3 linked regions of the Diceros bicornis minor genome follow. The protein of the gene in region 2 purifies or fractionates together with the protein of the main gene of each other region. This does not show direct contact. Links are inferred from orthologs where the notes say so. Each region holds a gene or a part of one and is shown on either strand. Other genes may lie near its edges. The genes, in order: NAP1L5, NAP1L1 and MAGED2.

Region 1 (7,139 bases), on a different chromosome or scaffold from region 2:
ATTACCTTAAGGTTTTACTCAACTATTGCCATTAGCATAGGTCAGAGCTGCCTTCCATTCCCTAAGGTAAAGCAGTCTAAATTTTGCTTTTGTCTAATTTTAACTCTTAAGGGAAATGGAAGAAAATGCATCTGAGTTTTAAAAATTTTTTGGAGTCTTTAATTTTATTATTATTTGTACTTCATTCAGAATGCCCAAATGTAAAGTTGAAATAGCATTTTTTTGTATATTCATAATGTCACATGAAAGCCTTTTTATCCTTTCTGGGAGGATATCAAAACCTGATTTTTATATTGAGGAAACCAAAACAAGATAGGTTTTTGAATTTCCTGTGTTTCTGAATTAAAGGCCACATTTTTCTCTGACAATAACGAAGCATAAACTTAAGAATATAACGATGTCCATTTTCTTCTCTTTTGTAACTAGAGAGACAAGGAGGATTGAATTTCCAATCAGTGTCTTTATCTTTCATGTAGTAATAATAATAATAGTGATAGCTGAAATTTCTGCAGCACTTAGTATGTTCTGTGGGCTTTTATGTGTATTAACTCACTTGTTCTCCATAATAACCCGTGAGGAAGGGACTGTTACTATGCCCTTTTCTAGATGAGGAGAAACTAAACACAGAGAGATTAAGTGAATTGCCCAAGATTCATTGCTAATAGGAGGCAGAGCTGGGATTTGATTCCAGGCAGGCAGAGTACCGAGTCCCTTTGTTTTTGGAAAATACTGCTTTATTAACACCACAGTGGTAAACAACTTTATGCTTATGTTTATAGATCACTGGGTCACAGGCAATTCAAAATCCACAAAGAAGCTAAGAGTCTTTATATTAAATGTGTCCTTCCTAAAAATCCTTGACTGTATGCCAGTCTATCCTCAAGCAGTAAAATTTGATTATGCACCATTTTATATTTAATATGTCACATTTACGTAGCAAAATAATGAAGGCACAGCTAATACAAGCAAACTTAAACCCTTTCTACTTCTGAGCTGGGGGTGGGGACACACACTTGGATTGGTTCTTCAAGTATATATTTTTTCCAAACATTAGCTTCAGTGAAAAGTTCTGATAATTTTCACAGCTACATTTTAAAAGCTACAGGACAAAAAGACTTTACAAGGATCAAACTACATAACACTGGATACACATGCTTGACAGAATTTGCTACGTTCTACATCTCTTCAAGTAAATTAATATTTCTAAAATGCTAGGTAAAGGGATTTAATACTTAAACATTTGGGGTTTTTTTTTTTACACTTTTGTAAAGAGACACTACCCAGAAAACACATAAATATGACACTGTAAATAATGAACACATTATTGTTGACAATATTATACAGGTTATACACCCTCCTTCTCAGAACCATGTTGTTTCTCTAAATTCAAATATTCAGAACATTCTTTAGAATTTGAAGTGGCAGTTTTCCAGGCTTATTAACAATACTGTCGTGATCTCCATCACACACTTGGTTCCATCACTCTTCTAAGTGTAAAGCTGATGTCTGGGTTACAAAAGCAAAGTCTTAAAGATGGGACTTTTCTTGGGTTCTGGACTGGAAAATTTCAGGACTAATGAAGAATTAGGCATTGAGAACATGTTCAGTCTTGGCTTGGGTGTTCCGTGTGTAATGTGATGATAGTGTGATGAATGAGTCTCAAAGTGACATTCTTTACTTCACATCTACGTGACACCCTTAATAAGCCTCAGTTCCAGTCCTCAAGAAGACATCATGAAAAAATTATTTTAAACACATTTTCTTTAACATCTTTTGATATATTTGTGTTCCAAATGAAAATCAAATTTGAAACGGGCTGGCCAGGATCTGATTGCTTCAATTTAATATATTTTTGGGAATGTCAGGATTGATTCACATTGTATTTTGGTCCAAAACCTGAGCCTTTTTTAAGTCCACCCATATATACATAATATTTTTAAAAAGTAGCGTTTTTGTCTTCGTCGTCATTCTGCTCTTCAGTCTCTGCCCCGCTTATTTTCTGGCGTCATCAGACAAGGCAGAGTGGGGACCCTCACCTTTGGCACCCTCCGCCGCAGCCTCCCCCTCCTCCTCTTCCTCCTCTCCCTCCTCCTCATCCTCGTACTCCTCGTCGTCGTCCTCCTCTTCCTCACCCTCTAAGGTCCATACACATCCCTCCATCTCACCGGTGAGCTCTTGGATCTTAGCAAGTAAGGGCTTATAGATGTCATTATACTTTTTCTCCAGAGCCTGAAATTCCTTATCAAATTTGGCTTCTATCTTATCGCATCGCTTCTGCAGCTTTTTGAGGGCCAGGACTCGGCATTTTACCGAGTTAGGCAGGCTCTCGATAAAGTCATTTTTAGGCTTTGGTGCATTCTCGGCAGGGGTCTGGGGCTCCTCTGCCGTCTGACCGGCCGCGCTGTCAGAGTCGCCCGTCTGCGCACCACCTTCCGCCATTACCTCCTCCGCCGCCGCCGCCTCTGCCGGCGCCGCCGCCGGGCTGGGCTCGGCTGGCCCCTGGTTCTCCGCGTCTGCCATGTCGGAGGAGAAGCCGCAGTGTCGGGGCTCCCGCAGAGACCCGCGCCGGAGCTGCTCCGGGCGATCTGGCGGATGCGGCAAGAGGCCGTGACGTCGGCGGCGGCCGTGACGTCGGCGGCGGCCCCGCCCTCGGGACTCCGGCCGCTGACTGGCTCCGGGACGGCTGACTGCCGTGCCCACTGCTGCGCCGGCTCTCCGCTGTTGCTACCCTGCGGGCTCCCGGGCATTGCCGCCGACGTCAGAGCCCGTTTCTTGGATACCCCGCCCGCAGTCGGCCCGCGTACCTGCGCCCCTGTGGAGCCGGTGTGGGAATGGCTGCGGGGGCCGAGGCTCTGTCTCAGGAACCGCTTGGCTGGCTTCAGCCTTTTTCAGTTTGCTCCTCTGTCCCACCCAGGTCCTTGTATACATCTATCTGTCAGTACGTCTGTCTTGGCCGTTGTCCGCATCTACCCGGGGCTGGTGTTGGTTTGCCGTGGTAGGGTGTCTCTAGCTTACTCTTGTGGGGTCGGTTTGGGCACCTCTCAGCTTCCTCCGAATTCCGTTCCAGAATGTGGAGGCACGGGAGAGCTGACTCCATTCCACCCGCTCTGGGACCTGGGTGCATGTGTGTGGGTGGGCAGCTTGCATGTCACTGTGCCCACCCAGCAGCCCCCTTGGCCGTTTCTCAGCCTAGCGGCATATATCCTGGTGGCGAGGTCTTGTCTCGGCAGGACGGACCCCGGAATCACTTTGGGAGCCGTGTGGATGGGGAGCCTCAGGACCCCGGGTATCCTGGAATGTGTTTGAGGAGGTCCCTCAGTGTCCTTGGCCTGTGGGGAGGGATAAAGCTGGAGGAGGGCCAAAGACCGGCAGGGCCCTCCAAGGCCTGCGGCCCAGCGCGGGGGCCGCGGCTTACCCGCTGAAGCGTGTGCTTAGTCCTGCGGTTCCCTGGGGACATGCGGCAGACACGTGTACACACAGCCGCTGTCCCCAGAGCGTTCCACAGCTCAGCATCTGCTCTGTGCGTCTGGCCTGTGATTTGTATCTGAGAACATAAGAAAAAGATCTTGAATAGCCAGCGAACTCTTGTATTTTAATAGCAAAGTGAGTAGATATTTTAGTTCTTTACTTTGTTTATTAAACCAAAACGATAGCTTCTTAAATAAGGATGAGGGCACATATTTGAGGTATAGAAGACAAATGATCCTTCCAGAAATTCCTCAGAAATGTCTTCAAATTCAGCATTCCTGATTTAAATGCTTTTCTTGCACTATATTGAGACTTGCTGAAACTTTTTCACCAAGCATATGAAATGTTAGGAAATTACTTCCCAATATACATTTCGTGCTATCTTTTGTGTCTTGTGAATATTACGTAGTTAATAATATGTAAAACACTTAATGCTGACACACAGCAAGCACTTGATAAATGTTTTGGTTTTTTTTTAACAAAATAATTGCATTTATTAATATGCAAAGATAACCTGCAATAATATTCTCTTTTAGAAAAGGACATCTTTGTGCCCTTCCCCAAAGAAAGTAACTGTTTACAAAAGACCCAATATATTCCCCCTAGCAAACATCGTAGTTTTTTATGTACGTGTGATTTCTGTTGTTTATTTTACTTTCTTGATTCTGTTCCGGATCATTTATTTTCCCCCCTTGCCTGTTACCATTTGTAATGACTGAGTTTTATTGCTAAGGCTAAAATTTCCATCTTAGACCTGACTGAATTTGGTGTAATGGTATGTCTATATTTAGTTGGCTGACACTATACGTATTCCATATATCACCATATATTTCATATATCATCTCTTGATGGCTACAGCTACGTTGAGGTTAGGAATGCTTTTTCTCATTTTAAAGATAAAGAACTTAGAAGCAGAAAAATAAAGTGAAGTAAATATTCTGTTACTGTATGTATCACCTGATTGGCAGAATCAGGGGCAGAAACCAAGCCTTCTAACTCCTATAGTATAGAAGTTGTGACAGATTTGAAAAAAAGCCCAAATTTTAATCAAATCCGTTTGACTAACTTGCTTGAGACAACCTGAATGTGCTCATCTTTCACGATTTTTATGTTCTCATCTTGAAAAATCTTAAAACTTAGTTTTAAGCTAGGCTACTTTTTTCCAAAGGTCTGTTTTATTGAAATATAATTTATGTGTAATAAAATTCACCCTCTTTAGGGTGCTTTGACAAATAAATACAGTTAGGTAAACACTGCAGTAATCAAGATGTAGCACAGTAACTTTATCCCAAAAAATTCCTTCATGGTCCTTTCCTTACTGCCAGCCCCGGTGACCACTGATCTGTTTTCTGTCTCTATAATTCTGTTTTTTTCCAGAATGTCATATGAAAGGAATCATATGTATGTAGACTTTGCGAGTGGCCTTTTTCACTTAGCATAATGCATTTGAGATTCATCTGTGGTGTTGTGTCTATTAATAGTTTGTTCCTTTTTATTACTGAATAATATTCCAGTTTGGGTTGTTTCCAGTTTTTTGTGGTTTTGAATAATGCTGTGATGAACATTCATCTACAGGTTTCTGTGTGAATGTAAATTTTAATTTCTCTTGGGTAAATACCTAGAAGTGGAATTGCTGGATCATATGGTACATGGAGGTTTAACTTTTTAAGAAACTTCCACACTGTTTTCCTAAGTGGCTGTACCAATTTATTTTCTCACCAGCAATATATGAGAGTTGTAGTTGCTCCCCATCCTCACCAGCATTTAGGGTCATTGGTTTTTTCCCTAATCTAATAGCTGTGATGGTATCGTTAATGATTAATGATATTGAATATCTTCAAATGTGCTTACATGCCATTCATATGTCTTCTTTGTTAAAATGTTTGTTTAGATCTTTTGCCCATTTTCTAAATTGAGTTTTTTGCTTTCTTAGTAGTTTTTAAATGTTTTTATATATTCTGGATACAAGTCATTTGTGAGATAAGTTTTATAAACTTTTTCTTCCAGTCCGTGGCTTGTCTTTTCATTTTTGTGACAGTGTCTTTAAAAACCAGACATTTTTTTTTTTTTTTGGTGAGGAAGAGTGGCCCTGAGCTAACATCTGTGCCCATCCTCCTCTATCTTGAATGTGGGATGTCTGCCACAGCGTGGCTCGATGAGTGGTGTGGGTCCATGCCTGGGATCTGAGCCTGAGAACCTCAGGCCACCGAAGTGGAGCACGCTGAACTTAACCACTGCACCACCAGGCTGGCCCCAGAAATTTTTTGATAAATCCATTTTTAAAATTTTTCTTTTATGGATTATGCTTTTGGTGTCACATCTAAGAAATCTTTGTCGAATCCAAGGCCGTAAAGATTTGTTCCTATGTTTTCTTCTGTAAGTTTTATACTTTTGTTTCAAATTTAGACTATGATTCATATTGAGTTAACTTTTATGTAAGTGTGAGGTATATGGATATATATGTTTTGCATATGGATATCCTGTTGATCTAGTATCATTTATTGAAAACACTATCTTTTCTCCACTGAATTTATTTTGCAAATTTGTCAAAAATTAATTGACCATATACATTGGGTCTGTTTCTAGACTTTCTTTTCTGTTGCCTTGATTTAGAGCCATACCTCGTTTTATTGCACCTCACTTTATTGTGCTTCGCAGATACTGAGTTTTTTACAAGACCCTCCACCACCCAAAAGATAATGATTTGCTTGAAGGTTCAGATGATGGTTAGCATTTTTTAGCAATAAAGTATTTTTTAATTAAGATATGTACATTGTTGTTTTAGACATGATGCTATTACACACTTCATAGACTACAGTATAGTGTAAACATAACTTTTCTATGCACGGGGAAACCAAAAAATTTGTGTGATTCACTCTATTGCGATATTAACTGTATTGTGGTGGTCTGGAACCGAGCCCACAGTATCTCCGAGGTATGCCTGTATGTGTCTCTCCTTTCACAGATACCACCCTTGATAACTGTAGCTTTATAATAATGTCATGAAATTAGGTAATGTGAGTCTTCTTTGTTCTTTTTCAAAACTGTTTTGGCTCTTCTAGTTCCTTTGCCTCTCTGTATAAATTTTGGAATCAGCTTGACAAACTTTTTAAAAGATCCTTACTACAGTTTGGATTCAGACTTCTAAAAACCATTGGCAATGCATACAGTACCTGCTTTTTTAAATTTACGTGTTCAAAAGATTATGTCAGTTTGTTAAGAGTTGTCTCATTTTGTGGGCTCTATGGACTCTAGTGTGTAATTGGGTAGCAGTAACACATAGTTGTGTATATTGTAGATGAGCTCTTGTGCTATGAGGTCTTTATCTCAGCATGTTGTAATTTTTTTTTTTAATTAAAAAAAAATTTTTTTTTTTGTGAGGAAGATCAGCCCTGAGCTAACATGCGTGCCAATCCTCCTCTTTTTTTTTTCTGAGAAAGACTGGCCCTGAGCTAACATCCATGCCGATCTTCCTCCACCTTATGTGGGACCCCGCCACAGCACGGCCTGACAAGCGGTGCATTGGTGCGCGCCCAGGATCCAAACCCTGGGCCACCATCAGCGGAGCGCACGCACTTAACCGCTACGCCACGGAGCTGGCCCTGGCATATTGTAATTTCTCACGCTCCTGTCACACTGGAAATGAAAAGAAGCAAGATGGGGGAAGGGAG
Region 2 (7,542 bases):
TAGACCTCGGCTTTGGCAATGTAGATCAGAAGGAGTAAGAGACTGGCATAAGGGAGACCAATTGCAAGGCTACTGCAAATAGTTCAGGTAAGAAATGTTGAAGACCCACATAAAGGAATGGTCTATTTTCTGCCTAAGTGGTCTATTTGTGAGAAACAAGGAAAAAAAAGTAAAATCTGGGAAGGTAGAACCATATTTGGCATGTAAATTAGAAAAAAAAGTCATAAAAAGGCAACAGAAGGGATCCTTGAGGTGAGGGAACTGTTTTGTATCTCCCCTATAGTGATAGATATAAACTTACACATGTGATAACACTGTATAGAACTAAACACACAAACACATATAAGTGGATCCAAGCGAAACTGGGGAAATCTGAATAAGACTGTGGACTGTTGTTACCATCATAGTAGACTAGGTAAAGTTTACACGGATCTGTGTTATTTTGTACAACTGCGTGCGAATCTACAATCATTTCAATAAAAACTTCAATTAAAAGTGATACCAAAATAATTTTCAAACGAAAAAATCTATTAATCCATTTTGGGATGTACAGGAAGAAATTTAAGGCAACTTGTCCACAATTCCTTACTGGAATTTTGATTAATTTTATGTTGCATTTATATAATAATTGGGAAAAAATGGAAAAAAATAAAACCAACCAGATTAAAAACTAAGATAACAGTTATTTAAATGTAATTTGTGCAGTTTTTAGATGATTATTATTGGTGCCATTAGATATTTTACATACTGAGTAATTGGGAGGGAAGAAAATGAACATTTATTGAGTACTTAATGTACAAGTCATTGCTCTGGAGGCTTGGCTTACATATATTTCTCTATTTCACGCTAATGAAGCGGCAGATTTTATTAGAATCATTAATGTGCTTCACAGATGGGGAAGCCTAAAGGTCAGAGTGTGTAAGTACTTTTGTGAGGTCACAGTGTTGGGATGAACCCACGCCTGACTTTCAAGCCCATGCACTTTCCTACTTAGGGGCTGAAATACAGACACAAGCACACTTAAGGTATTGTATCCATCATTGACTTGTCTGGCTGATCTCTACAATGTCTGCATCCAACATTTAGAAATGTGGAATATAGTCCTTTTGTGGTAATCAGTGTGGATTACTTCAGCTCAGGAAAACACGTTTTAAAATTTATGATAAGATAGCTTCTGATAAAATATTTCAAAATAGTAGTGTCAGATACTATTAGAAAACTTCAGGGGAATTCTCTCAACCTTTAAATAAAACAAAACCTCATTAAGAGATTTATATCGTTTAACTTTTATTGAGTATTTACTATATGTCAGGTATCATGTTAGGCAACTTACATGTTATTTAAAATTTCACAACAAAATAGGGACAGAACTTGGGCTGTTTGACTCCAGAGCCACACTTCTGAACCACTAGGATACAGCGCTGTAAAAATCTACCAACGTGGGTCGGCCCCGTGGCTTAGCGGTTAAGTGCACTCACTCTGCTACTGGCGGCCCGGGTTCGGATCCCAGGCGCGAACCCACACACCGTTTCTCTGGCCATGCTGAGGCCGCATCCCACATACAGCAACTAGAATGATGTGCAACTATGACATACAACTATCTACTAGGGCTTTGGGGGAAAAAAAAAGGAGGATTGGCAACAGATGTTAGCTCAGAGCCGGTCCTCCTCAGCAAAAAGAGGAGGATTAGCACGGATGTTAGCTCAGGGCTGATCTCCCTCACAAAAAAAAAAAAAAAAAAAAAAAAATCTACCAATGCAAATAATGGGGGATGAAGGAAAAAGGAACTTTAACTGAAAGTTTAGCATGGTCCAAGATCAGTGATCAGAGCCACTACTTATTGTAATTAAATTAGATGAGTTAATACATCATGTGATTTGGGATCTAAGAGAGGTCAATTGTGAGAAGCTCAACGGCATCTTCAGGTCAGTCACCTTCTACCACTTTGTCTCATTTTATTTTCTTCATAGGTCTTTTTTGTGTGTGTGTGAGGAAGTTCAGCCCTGAGCTAACACCCGTCTCGAATCCTCCTCTTTTTGCTGAGGAAGATTGGCCCTGGGCTAACATCCGTGCCCACCTTTGTCTACTTTATATGGGACGCCACCACAGCATGGCTTGACAAGCAGTGCGTCTGAACCTGTGAACCCCGGGCTGCTGCAGCGGAGCTCGCGCACTTAACCACTATGCCACCGGGCTGGCCCCTCTTCATAGCTCTTTCACTCACTAATATCTAAAATTATTTCACTACTTGTCTATCACTTGCCTCACCTAACCAGAACATAAGTTCAATAAAATCAAAAACCTTACGTTCCTTGTTCAATGCTGTATTTCCGGTGTCTCAAGTTGTTCCTGACATATAGATATTTGTTGAATGATTGGCCTTCCCTGAACTTGAATGGTAGAGGTTTAGATTTACAAACTGTGGTTCAAAAGATCACATTAAAAGGCCTGCATTATTAGCAATTTATTAGTGTTTTGTTTCTTAGATTGGCTAGATGCACTGAAAGAAGGGGAGGAGGAAGCTGGAGGAAGGAAGAGGAGGCTAGAGAAAAGGAGAAAGAGAGAATATAAACTGGTAATGATAAGCCTTTAAACATGGGAGTGGGGTTGAAGCATCAATGCCTGAAATTGGTGGGGCTCTCTGGAGTGGGATAAAAACTATCATGAAGGCTAACTTCTCAATTTGGTCTCTGAAGTTCTGCCACCACAAAGATTTATGAAGGTGAAAGTTATGTAGTTCATTTTTAATATGCTAATTACATTGCATTCTGCATAGCTTTGATTACAATGCAATGCTCTTGAGGGTTCCACTGAAATTAGTGCCAAGTTTATGTACATATTCAGCACTGGTCTACCTAGTTTATGTATTGTGGATTCTTCATAAGGAGTCATCACTGATGTCCATCCTTGTTAGCCTTACATCATTGTCGAGTAGGATGTATATAAAGAAAGAAGGTTGAGAAAAACAAGAGTCATATATGAGGAACCAAAACCAAACTGAGGCATCTGAAGCAGAGTGGGAAAGGCAACTAATTTCAATGGGGTTGGAGAGTGCCAAGGAAAAAAATCCTCTCTGTAAAATGGAATAGAAAGTTGCTAAACGTGAGAGTTACAACAGAGGATTCTAGGCAGTTTGAAGTTCCAAGGAATGCGACATTCAGAGAAGAGGTTCTCAAACTTTTTGGTCTCAGGACCTCTTTACACTCTTAAAATTGAGGTCCCCAAAGAACTTTTATGGGCATTATAGAAACTAATATTTATCAGATTAGAAATTAAAATTAAGATATTTTAAGAGTAGTTACTGTTTCATTTAAAAACAATAAACCAATTAAATGTTAACATGAGTATCTTTTATATGAAAACTAGTTTCCAAAACAAACAAAAAAAACTGAGTAGACTGGCATTGTTTTGCCATTTTGCAAATCTCTTCAATGTCTGGTGACATCCAGCAGATGACTGGATTCCAATATTTGCTTGTTTTCAATGTTTCCATATCACATGTCAGGTAGCCTCTGGAAAACTCCACTGTACACTTGTGAGAGAATGAGAGTGCAAAAGGCAAATAACGTTTTAGTATTATTATGGAAATACTTTTGACTTCTCCCTTAAAAGGGTCTGGGGACCCTCGGATCACACTTTGAGAACCACTGTTTTAAGAGTCAATATTAGTCAATCCAGCATCAATTAAAAGACAACCGCGAGGTTTCACAGGCCTAAGGATTTACATTTTCAGAAAGATGAAACAATAGAGTGTCTCCATTATAAACCATCCAGAGAATACACCGAAATGCCATTTTCACCCATCAAAAGAACTAAAGCAGAAATGAGGGATCGTACCTCAAATAAAAGGACGGAGGAGTAGGTTTGAAGAGCATCCCCCGAAGCCCCAGAGACCTAGAGTTAGAAGAAGCAAACCCGGCAGAAGACGCCGCCGAGGTGGTCAGGAGGAAAGAACTGTTGTTCTTAGGGGGAAAAATGGGCGGGGAGAGAAAATGGTTACCGGGGACCAGGGAGTTGCAGGAACGAGGCCGGGAGAGGGACAGGCACGAAAGAGCGCTGGTCGTCAGGATGCGGCAGGCCGGGACTGGGCAGGGTCCCCCGCCCTCAGTCCTCCCAGCACCGCGCCGAGGGGGTGAAGTGGGCCGGGGGCGAGGCGCGCAGGTCAGGGCCCTTCCCGGGAACGGAAGGGGTTGAAATTTCCCTTCCAGCGCAGCGGGGAGAAAAGAGACGGCGGGGCGCGTCGTACGGGGCGGAGGCGGGAACCCGAGGAACCCAAGCGCCGCACAGACGTTGTGGAAGTCGCCAGGGAAGAAGGACGGTTCTGTTGCTAGGCAACCCGTCCTGGCCCCGCCTCCTGCTCGCGTTGCTGGGAGACGGCGAGGCCGGGGGAGGGCGCGGAGTCGGCCCTACGTGCTGACGCTAATTGTATATGAGCGCAAGCGGCGGGCTCTCGGGTCTTTTTTAGCGCCATCTGCTCGCGGCGCCGCCTCCCGCTCCTCCCGCCGCCGCCCTGAGTCACTGCCTGCGCAGCTCCGGCCGCCTGGCTCCCCGCGCTAGACGCTGGTAACGGATGGGGCCTGAGGGGAAGGGGCACGGAGAGGCGGCCGGGGAGGGGAGGGGGAACGGGGGCCGAGAGCGGGGCGGCCGGCCGCCCGGGCCTCCTGGAGGCTGAGCCGGAGCCGGCCGTGGGGTTTCGGCCCCGCAGCCTGAGAGGCCCCCGGCCGGCCGGCGCTCCCTTCGGGTCCCGCTGAGGAGACGCGGGGTCGGTGCGGCCTGGAGGGCCGGGGCCGGCTGGCCTCGCCGCGCTGCCGGAGCCCACCGTTTCTCCGCGCGGACGGCAGCGAGGCGGCGGCCGCGCCGCTGGGGACCGGGAGGCGCCGGGGCGGGGGCCGGCTCGAGGCGCAGCCCACCGCCGGCCGACGCCCCCGCTCTCAAACTACTACCCCGAGGGAGGCCGCGGGGGGATGGAAAGAACGGCGGAGGCTGCGAATTCCGACGGGAGGGAGGGGCGGTGAAGGGCCAGGCCCCGCGGCGGGAGGGGCGGTGAGGCGGCCGGGCTCCCGCCCACCGGGGGCGGCGACCGCGCCGGGAGGGGAACCCCCGGCGGTCCTCGACACGTGGCCGCCGGGCCGGACGGGAGACCCCCGGCCGGGCTGTCCTTACTTCCCTCAAAGTTGTAGCGATGGTGGGATGTGGAAATGAATAGTGAGCGCGTAAGTCCAGCCCTTGGGTTTCCGACTCCCCCTTGCTTTTCTTGGGTCCTGATCTTTTTATGGGTAACGGAGGAAAGTGTGCATGTTAGGTGATGGGTGATGAAGCAGGGCCTCCACTGCCGCGATTTGAAAGAACTACCGCGTGTAAAGCGCTTATGTGAGCCATTATTAACAAAAGATTTTCTTGTGTACTTCAAGTACGGTTAGAATTTGGATGGTTATTTTGACCAGAGTTTTTTATTTGGGGAGAATTGATCCTAATCAATCTAATCCTCTAAACGGTTCTAAGAAATAAAGGATTAGGCCTGAAATGTCTTTAATTTTTCTAAGACTTCTATTGCTTTCTTACAAATTACTTCTCTTATTGAAGTTGCCAGAATAAGATACTTACCTGGCTGTTTTGTTTTTAAGCTGAGTAGGGGTATGGAGGAAGTATGGGGTGGAATGAGGCCTTAATGTAAGTTTGTAGCCTGCTGCCTTGTCAGTGCCCTCACTTCTCCCTCAAAAAAGGAGGCAGTGAAGGGAGGCGGGGAATGAGGAGGCCCTGTCTGGGAGGGCTGGACTTGCGGAGTACAGAAAGAATGAATCGGGCACAGGATGTCCTCAAGGAGCCCTTATTGTAGACTATCACTGTCCGGTTAGTTCTGTAAGGACTGCGCTTTAAAATCTCACAACTTAACACGGCCTGTCTGGTTTCAGGAGAGCTGAGCTGTAAAATGAAATTTGCCATTTTTGAAAATAGCATTAAAATATTTCAAATTAGTATTTAGGTTCTATTTTTGTCAGCTTTAATTAATACTACTTATGTACTTACTTAGGAAGTGATAGACCTTTGATTGGATAAGGGAAAAACTTTATATGTAGAATAACTTATTTAAAACTGATGGGAGGTAAATGAGGTTTACAGTGATCTTCTGGGACTATTAAGTCTCATGCTTGTTCACAGTTGCCGGAGTTCAAATTAAGGGCCCAAATCTAAAATGTGTGATTTACTTCTTAAGACTGGTCCTTTGGAGGATAGATGGAACTAAATATTTGGTTGGTCGACTTGGACATCTATCATTATAAAAACCTTGACTTCATATATTGTTTTTTCGGGTTAGTGGTATGTTAATTTGATAAATAGAATTTAAAAAAAAATTCACCATACCAGTTTGAAAATCTTTGTAAATTTCATCTGTTGCAAAGTACCTATTTTTGATATTGGGCCTATTGACAGAAAATTATTAAGCTAATAAGTTACTAAATGTGGCCCATGACTGTTCTCATCCTGTAGAGATTAGAGAAGACAAAAAAACTCAACACTTGTACCAGAACTAATTTAATTCAAAACGCTATTGCTCATTTTATTATTCAACTTTCCCATAGTCTGTGGGTGACTGATTTGATTCTAAACTCCCAAAATATATTCAATAGAGTCCTTTTGTAGGAAAAGGTGCTAAAAGAGGCAAAATCTGTTTGACTTCAATGTATGAAGATGATGTCAAAAAATTACTTTGTTCATTTTTTTGCTTTGTTGTAATTTTGAAATATTAATGAAAGATAAGATTAGAGGAAATGAATCTTGATCAGTTTTGAAAACTAATGATCCATCTATTCAGATCCTTAAGTCTAATTAAACCTGTAATTAATTACTTGTGTTCCCAGTTGATTCTTTGAGTAAATATGTTAGCACCTATTTGGACTTGTACCTTATATCTTGAGCCAAACAGGCAAATTGGTTGTCTGAATATAAAATGTCAAATTGTGATGAGTGCTAAGAAGAAAAAGAAAGTGGGGCAAGTGAGGGATAGAGTAGTATTTATAACATTTGTTCCATGAAGGATCCTGTTATAATGGTGATATTAAGTCCCATTTCATACTAATTTCATCTGAATAAGAAGTTCTCTCCTTGTTGGGCAGAGTAGGGTTTAGAAGGTGAGTGCTGTTTGTTCACTCATCCTTGTAAGTTGTTTATTTAGTACATTGACAGCAGACCACTAGATCATATTAGTGGGCTTCCCGCAGAAGGTGCACTCTAGGGCCGGCCCCGTGGCTTAGCGGTGAAGTGCGTGCGCTCTGCTACTGGTGGCCCGGGTTCGGATCCCGGGCACGCACCGACGCACCGCTTCTCTGGCCACGCTGAGGCTGCGTCCCACATACAGCAACCAGAAGGATGTGCAACTATGACATACAACTATCTACTGGGGCTTTGGGGGGAAAAATAAATAAATAAAATTAAAAAAAAAACCTAAAAAAAAAATGAAGGTGCACTCTATACTTCTGCTTACCAACTCTGCCTTTTACTGCTACATGATTTGATACATTTTTACTTTTTCAGAAGTTTTAT
Region 3 (7,815 bases), on a different chromosome or scaffold from region 2:
GCCATGTTGAGTCTTGGGTTTGTCTTTCACTGGTTTCCTAGTAGGAGTTTCATCTCCCCACCAGGCCAGGAGCAACCCAAGGGTAGGGCCAGAGGCTTCTCCTCTTCCTATGTCCACCACTGGCTCTGATTATACCACTCTGGACCAATCACTCAAGTCACTTCACTTCTCTGGGACTCAGTTTCCTTCTCTATAAAACTGGATAACTTTCAGGATTTAATGAGATAACCTGTGTGAATGTGCCTAGCCCAAGGCCTAACACATGGTAGCTACTATGTAAATGTAAACCGCATTACATTCAGATTGAAGCTGTGCATATTCCTGTCTCATCTCCCCACCAATTTGTGGGCTCTCTGAAGACAGGAATCATATAATTATATCATAGTCCTCTTAGTGTCTCCCACAGCCTTGATGAGCACAGGGAACTTTCTAAACGTTTGCAGAACAAATGAACCAACTAAGAAGAGAGAAGTGGAAAGGTAAGGGTGATGATTGCAGAGGTCTTACCTTTCGGGCTTTCTTGGCCTTGATCTTGGGCCGAGTATCCTGATTCTCCCGAGCCTGGGCAGCTGCACCCTCAGGCTCAGGTTCATCTGCCAGAGCCTGAGAGGCAACAGCCTCAGTCTCCAGAGCCTTTGTATTGACCTTGGCATCAGCCACACAGCTGCCCTTTTTGGTCTCAGTGGCAGGCACTGTCACAGCCTGAGGGTCAGCATTCTGCATCTTGGTGTCAGCTGCTCGACTCGTCTTTTCAGCTGCCAGAACCTGGGTATCAGTCAGCTTAGTGGTAGGTGAGGCCTGAGTGGCAGCTGCCTCCTCAGCCTCTGTGGCCTTTGACACGGCTGCAGCATTCGAAACCTTCACAGCCTCTGAGACTTCTGGTGCCTTTGAGGCCTTCGGTGTCTCTGAGACCTCCAAGTTCTGGGTCACTGTCAATAGGGTCTGCATCTTCAAGCCACTGTCCTCTTCTGAAGCATCAACCTACAAGAGGAAACAGGGAAGCTCACAGACATTCTCCCTACCCCCAACTAGGCAAACGGCTCCAAAATTCCAGGGCCTCACTTTTCTGACCTATACTAACCCCTTGCAGTGTGCTCTGACCACCTCAGCCCAACAAGGCCTCCCCTTCCTCTGAGCAGGAACTGATGGCAAAAGAGGGGCAGGCCTGCCCTCCCTTCCTCCCACCTTCCTTCCTCCCTCCCTCTTTCCTTCCTCTCTCTCTCCCTTTCTCTCTCTCTCTACTGGGGTAGGGGGCACCCAGGCAAGGAAGTGGGTGGAGAAGGGGAAGAATGGGAGGGGAGATGCCAACGGATTTGGGGCAGCAACAGGGGTTGGAGAGGAAAGGCAGCTAGGGAGAGGACAGAAGGAGGCCTTACCTGTAAGCGGGTTGGGCCCATACCACTCTCGCTTGTATCAGACATATCTCAAGTTGGCCTGGCAAGCACTGAACCTGAAGGAGAGAAGGCCTGGGTCAAGGAAAGGGCCCACTGAACGTTCTCTCTTCTGTTCTGCCTGGAGGCTGATCCTCACCTTCCCCAGGACCCCAATCCCAAACCCCTCCCCCACCCCCAACGACTTCGTTCACAGATTAGTAATCCAGAGCGTCTAAGTCTCAATTCTCTGCAGCCGCACCCTCCCCTTCTCCAGGAAGATGTGCCAGCGCGGCAGCTCTGAGGACCCCGCCCCTTTTCCCAGTGCACCGCCGCCCCCAGGCGCAGGTCTAGAGTGCGCATGCGCGTCCGCTGCAGGGGCCCATCTCAGCCCCGCCTGCTTTCTCAGAACAAGCCCTTTCTTTGATGTCCACCGTGCACATGCGCATTCGGCAGCTGGCCCGTCTCTGCTTGCCCTTCTCTACACGCCCCCTTCTAGCGATCCATAGTACGCATGCGCAATGATCACGGACGCAGCCCAGCCTGCTGTCCCAACACACGCCCCTCTCCAGGTCTGCAGTACCATTGGGTCCCGCCCCCTCCCCAACAAGCCTCCCTCTCAAATTGTCGCAGTGTCTGGTGGTCCCGGCCCCTCCCCTATTCACACCCACCCCACCAAATCCACAGTACTCACCCGGTCCCGCCCCTTTTCATAACACGCCCCCCTCCAAACTGGGGCAAAGCGCCTCTTAGTTCCGCCCATTCCCTAATACACCCCCTCCTCAAATCAGTATTGAGCTACCGATTCCATCTTGGGCCCAGCCAAACCGGGTCCAGTCCCCTCCCTTCCCAGCCGGATGGATCCGGTACGATCCGGTCCTTACAGCAGGTTTTCTCCAGATCCTAGAGGGTGGGGCCGACCCCTAACGGGGCTCTGATCCAGAGCAGGGCCCTGCTTGCTCACCTCGTCCGTCCGCAATTCCCGAGTGCGTTCTCTCTCTCCAAGCCCCTCCGAAACTCAGAGACTACCCTCCCCCGTCCAGGCCGGAAGTGGTCCCGCCCCTTTCCGCCTCCCTAGGGTGCCTCCGTCCCAGCCAGTCTGCCCTTCCCCCGCTCTGTGCTCCTCATTCTTTATCCCGCCCCCCTCACCCGTATTCCCTCTGCCTTGCTCCCTGCTCCCTATTCCCCCATCGCATTTCCTATTTACCCCACCGAATTCCCCATTCCCATTCTTTACATCCTCCTCCGTGTTACCTCTGCACCCCCTCCTCCAATATTCCTTAACCCTTCTTTGCATCCTCTATTTTCTTCTCTGGATTTCCACTTCCCTCAGTATTCCTCTTCCTCCTCATATTCTTCGTCTGCCACCCAACATGCCCAGTTCCCCGTTTGTTTCCCCCTCCTCCTCCACTAGTCTCTGCTCCCCAGTAGTCTCTCGGTCGTCCTTGTTGCCTACATCCCATTCCAGGTCACCTCTCCCTTAGCAGCAGTGGTGCAGTAAGAATTGCCCACTTGCCTGGCTATAGGTTCGAGGGGGCTGGAACCACTGTCTGGCTGCCAGGAAGCCCCAATCTTAACGCCCCTCACCTTGTCTTCGAGCGAGTCCGGGATGCGTCTGCCCTCTCTCAGTCCCTCTGGAAGTCTCAGCCTCCTGACTAGAGCTGCAGCCAGCCCAGCCCAGCCCAGCCCCTTTCCGCAGCCCCCTGCCACCCCCCCTCCTTCCTCGGGGGTGGGGCAATGGGGCCCGGTTCAGGGCCGTCTGACGCCAAAGCCCGTGTTTATGCCACTGTACCAGACTCGGTATGAAGCCCTTCCAACCAAAACCACCCCCTCAAAGCGATTCATACGTTGAATGTATTTATTTTTATATCTTTATTTTTTCGTATTACAAAGCTAATGTGTTGTCGTTGTGAAAATTCAAATAATGCAGGAATATGTATCATACCAATGAAAGGTGTGTTTCATTGGTATGTAACATACCACCCATATCTCATCCCCCAGAAATATTAACATTTTGATATATATTCCTCCCAGAGTTTTTTCTATTCATAAACTAATTATTTGGGTTTTCTCCCCACAAGTGGTACGCTGTACCTACAGTTCTAGTAGGTTCTAGACCTAGTTTTTTTCCAGTTATGTGTTCTAAACAGCTTTCCATAGTGCGCATTTTTCTGAACAGCTGCATCATCTTTTCTTGTATAGATGTCCCATAATTTATTCAATCAGACCAGGATACATGGATATTTAGCATTGTTTCCTTTTCTTTTCTTTTAGTTTTTTTTACTATTACTGTCCAAATAATACTACAAGGAACATCCTTGTCTCTGTATTGGGCTTCTTTTTATTGTTATTTATGGTATTTTTTGCTGACTCAAGTGCTACAAAAATGTTTTCCATTTTGATATAAAATTTGTCAACTTACTCTCAAAAGGTATATGGAATAACTTTCCCACCAACAACGTCTCTCAAACATTTATGTCACATATATTACAAGTATTTTTCGTGTTATTTATGGTAATCTTTGCTATACAAAATGATTTAGTTATTATGTAGTGAAATGTATCAGGTTTTCCTTTATCATGACTGGATTTTGCTTCATGCTTAGAGATCCTTTCCACACTGCTATATTGTAACAATTCCCGTCTTTTTCCCAAGCACTTTTATGGCTTTATCATTTACATTTAAATGTCTGATCATTCCAAAATTTGTTTTGTATAAGGATTCAGCTTAGTTATTTTCCAAAATCATAGTGTCTTATCCCTACACCATATGCAAATTAATCAATCTTTTCCACCACTGATTTGAAATGGCACTTTTATCATAATAAATTCACATAAGTAACTGGGTCTATTAAAGAGAACAAAATAAGATGTATAAATAATGGAAAGTAGAAAAAATTGTCATTAGTTACAGAGTGTATTAATGCAGACCTGGACAACCTGAGAGCATCAAGTAAAAAATTATTAGAAATCATAATAAAATTTAGCACAGTGGTCAGTTACAGAAATAATATTCAATACCTTTCCTACATCCAAAAGTAATTCAAATGGTCATAAACCTTCTGCTTTATGAGGTCACCTTTTCCTTTACTAAGCAAATAAAATATCATGAATCCCTATGTTCTATGGATAATTCAACGCATGCCTGCACACACACACACACACACACACACTTCCCAGATATTCAAAGTGAGTTTCTTTTCTCCTGACTCCTCTCTTTCCCTGAATTGTTGCCTCCTCCAAGTTTGTGATATAGCTCACTACTTTCTTGCCTCCTAGGTTCTCTCTCCCGGGCACAGGGCTTTATTTCATACTAGACACAGCCACTCCTTTTCTTCCAGTTCTAGTGCCCCAAGTTCCCATCCCTTCCAAATCATGGCAAGCCTTGAATGCCGAGGTAAGGACTTTGGTCTTGATCCTGAGAGCACTGAGAGGTTATTGAAGGGTTCTAGGCTTGGATAAGACATAGATTTGTGTTTTAGAAAGAACACCCTAGCTGCCTAAACCATAAGGAGTATGGATTAGTTGTCTTCCTGGAAAGAGAGAGTAGTCATCCAGGTAAGGGAAGGGGTGAGGAGGAGGGAAGTGTCAAAGGAAACTCTTGGGGATCTGATTTGAGAGATAAAATGTGTGGACCCCTTTCACTGAGATATGGAATACTAACGGAGGGGAACTGAGTATCAATTTTGAGGTACCTGTGGGACATCCAAGTGGAAATGTCTCACAGGCAGTTGGATATAGATATCTGAAGCTCAGGAAAGCGGTCTGGGCTAAGGTTATAGATCCAGGAGTCATCAGTATGTAAATGGTTCTTTAATCCGTGGGAAAGGGCAAGAGCACCTGGGAAGAGTGTGCAGTCTTAGAAGAGATGGGGCCCAAGGAATAACCCTGGAGACCACCGACTCCGGGCATAGGTGGAGGAAAAGGAGCCCATGAGAGAGATGGGTAAGTAGTGACCAAGGAGATAGGGAGAAAAGCAGAAGAAAGTAGTGTCACAAAAACAAGGAAAGAGAATGTTTCAAAAGGAGGAAGGGGTCAATAGTGTTGAATGTTACCAAGAGGTCAAGAACAGTCCTGAAAAAATATCTAGGGATTTTAATAATCAGGTGGTGGTCTGGTCCCTGGTGACCTCAGAGGGAATAATTTCAGTACAGACATTTGTGGCATAGATTGCTAACTGCTTATACCAGTATATCCATTCTCTTCTTCTTCCTTAGTAATAGAACATGTGATTTTTAGCTGAACACATAGCCTCCTGGGATAAACGTCATAAGGACAAGAGTCACACCCTAAGAATAGTGCAGCAGTAAACTAAAAAGAACCTGGATCTCTAATAATATCATAGTGCCACCATACCAACTTTGGATTGCATACCTCTGGATTTCTTTTAGGTGAGATAAACACAGGTATGTCTTATTTAAACCATTGTTATTTGGAAGTCTATGCCATGCAGCAGTTTCATGATTGTAGTGAGTTGAGATGTGAGTGGCAGGTGAAGTATTCATGACAATGAGTGCGTGATGACAACTCTTTAAAGAAATGCCTGAGCCTGATTTCAAGGCTCTCCCAAAATTTAGTTCTGATTCCTTTTCCAGCCTTTTTCTTTCTGTTTTTCTGAGCACTACCTGTATTCCAACAAAACAAAACACTTTGCTATTACCAGATGTACCCTGCCTTCTCTTGCTTAGGAGCCTTTGCTCATACGATTTCTTCCCCATGGAACACCCTCTGTTACATCTACCCTCTGTTACAACATCCACCATTTTAAATTCTATAGCATTTTAAGTCCTAGTTGTGGCCTTTGGGATCCTGGAGTAACTTTAAAGGAATACAGAGTCAGAACCTTAGGAGATTCAAGGGACTCGGGAAAAATCTCAGTCCAAGTCCATCAGAGAGGTATTCCCACAGATTTTCAAAGCCAACCTTCCCAGTCCCTTCTCAATACCACCACCTTCATAACACAATACTATAACTACCCTTATCTTATGACCTGGGGATCAGAGGACAAGAGAAAACCTTATCAAGAGAGAAAAGAAAAATTCATTCATAATCTTCACCCTTTTACCAAAGAGATTTCCTCTCACCTTCTCCTTATGAACTCCTGGAATCTTTTGATCTTCAGCATCTACCCATAAACTCTGAAGAACTTAGGTCACTGGGTCCCAGATCAGTTTCCAACATTCATAGATCAGCAGGTAAATACCTGAGATCATATAGATCCTGCATATCAACTAAGGGCAAAGATGAAAAGCTGAGTTATCATCAGGCATCTCTGTTAAGAAGATGAGGAAAAGCAGGCTAAAGATTGCTTAGTGCAGAGTGTCAGGGGATAAAGTTGCCTAATCCCAGAACATCCAAGATTTCAGACCCCTGAAGCTTAAATGGGAAGCCCAGAATATACCCGCCACCAATCTTCTCCTAACACATTTTCCTTCCTCTAAACTATACAAAATCAGTACCTCTTAATTTTCCAAAATTCTGAAAATTTTGGAATATACAGAGGTAAAGCTTGGAGTAGGTGGCAAAAGTTTCCTCCCAAAGCTACCTATCACTTCTGTAGTCGTCTAAGTCGTACAGCACACCATAGCAATCAACTTAAAATTGGACATCAGACTTTCCTGTTCTTCGCATTTCCTCAGCCATTCCCACCACTGGGAAAGGCCTAATAACTGTCCCTTCTCCTGGGCCCCACTCCCCATTGTAGTTGGGCCCTTTCTGTCCCCCAAAATACGGACGGGGCACCTCCCCTCCTTTCCATTTCCAGGCTCCTATATCCTCTCTCTTGAGTTGCTGGTGGAATATCATTTTTTTTCTTCCTTTTATGTGCAGGACAATTAATACATTTTGTATCACTCTGAACCCTGAGGGCTATCTTTCCACAACCAAAATGGCTACATTTTGTTAAACCAAAGGCAAATTTCCCATAGATGAGGAAACTGGCTACCCACTTTTGGGCTAACACTCCTTCTCCCCTGCTCTTTGCACATTGAGTCCTTCCTCAGCACATGCCTGTGAGGCAGGTTCGGGCCAGTCAACAGATATTGAGCACCAACTACGTATTAGGCACCTCTACAGAGGTGGTCCTTGCTCTTCAGGGGCTTACATTTCTACTGTATGAACATTAACCTCATTTTACAGAAGACCAAATTGGGACTGAGGGAGGTAACTTGCCTATAGCAAAGCAACTAGCAAATGACAGAGAGAGGACTTGAATCCAGGTCAGTGCAATGCCAAATACCAGAGCCTTCCCCACTATGCTCTACTACCGCCGATGTTTGAAGTCCCAGAAAATCCTTTCCAACTCTCTTCATAAACATATGATGATTTTCTTCTGTGGAGGCAAGTCGAACTGGACGTCTATACACCCATTTTAATATTGTCATAAAGTGTCATAGGAAATATAATTATTTCATTGTTGTGAGATCAACATAAAGATTTTAGGATTT

Evidence for each region.
Region 1: the proteins of NAP1L1 (region 2) and NAP1L5 purify together in Homo sapiens (affinity purification with mass spectrometry; 3 studies listed by BioGRID and IntAct, counting the BioPlex papers as one, with this or other methods). This does not show direct contact. The link is inferred for Diceros bicornis minor from reciprocal best matches to the Homo sapiens genes NAP1L1 and NAP1L5.
Region 3: the proteins of NAP1L1 (region 2) and MAGED2 purify together in Homo sapiens (affinity purification with mass spectrometry; 4 studies listed by BioGRID and IntAct, counting the BioPlex papers as one, with this or other methods). This does not show direct contact. The link is inferred for Diceros bicornis minor from reciprocal best matches to the Homo sapiens genes NAP1L1 and MAGED2.

The regions. Positions count from the first base shown.
Region 1 is NC_080747.1:72,637,152-72,644,290, forward strand, and holds NAP1L5 (nucleosome assembly protein 1-like 5), read right to left. Parts: upstream 2,568-7,139; 5' UTR 2,521-2,567; coding exon 1,993-2,520; 3' UTR 548-1,992; downstream 1-547.
Region 2 is NC_080764.1:43,366,316-43,373,857, forward strand, and holds the start of NAP1L1 (nucleosome assembly protein 1-like 1), read left to right. Parts: upstream 1-4,458; 5' UTR 4,459-4,563; intron 4,564-7,542. UniProt on the Homo sapiens protein: Histone chaperone that plays a role in the nuclear import of H2A-H2B and nucleosome assembly.
Region 3 is NC_080781.1:45,253,108-45,260,922, reverse strand, and holds the start of MAGED2 (melanoma-associated antigen D2), read right to left. Parts: upstream 3,025-7,815; 5' UTR 2,958-3,024; intron 2,412-2,957; exon of another isoform or gene 2,335-2,411; intron 1,451-2,334; 5' UTR 1,422-1,450; coding exon 1,377-1,421; intron 982-1,376; coding exon 508-981; intron 1-507. UniProt on the Homo sapiens protein: Regulates the expression, localization to the plasma membrane and function of the sodium chloride cotransporters SLC12A1 and SLC12A3, two key components of salt reabsorption in the distal renal tubule.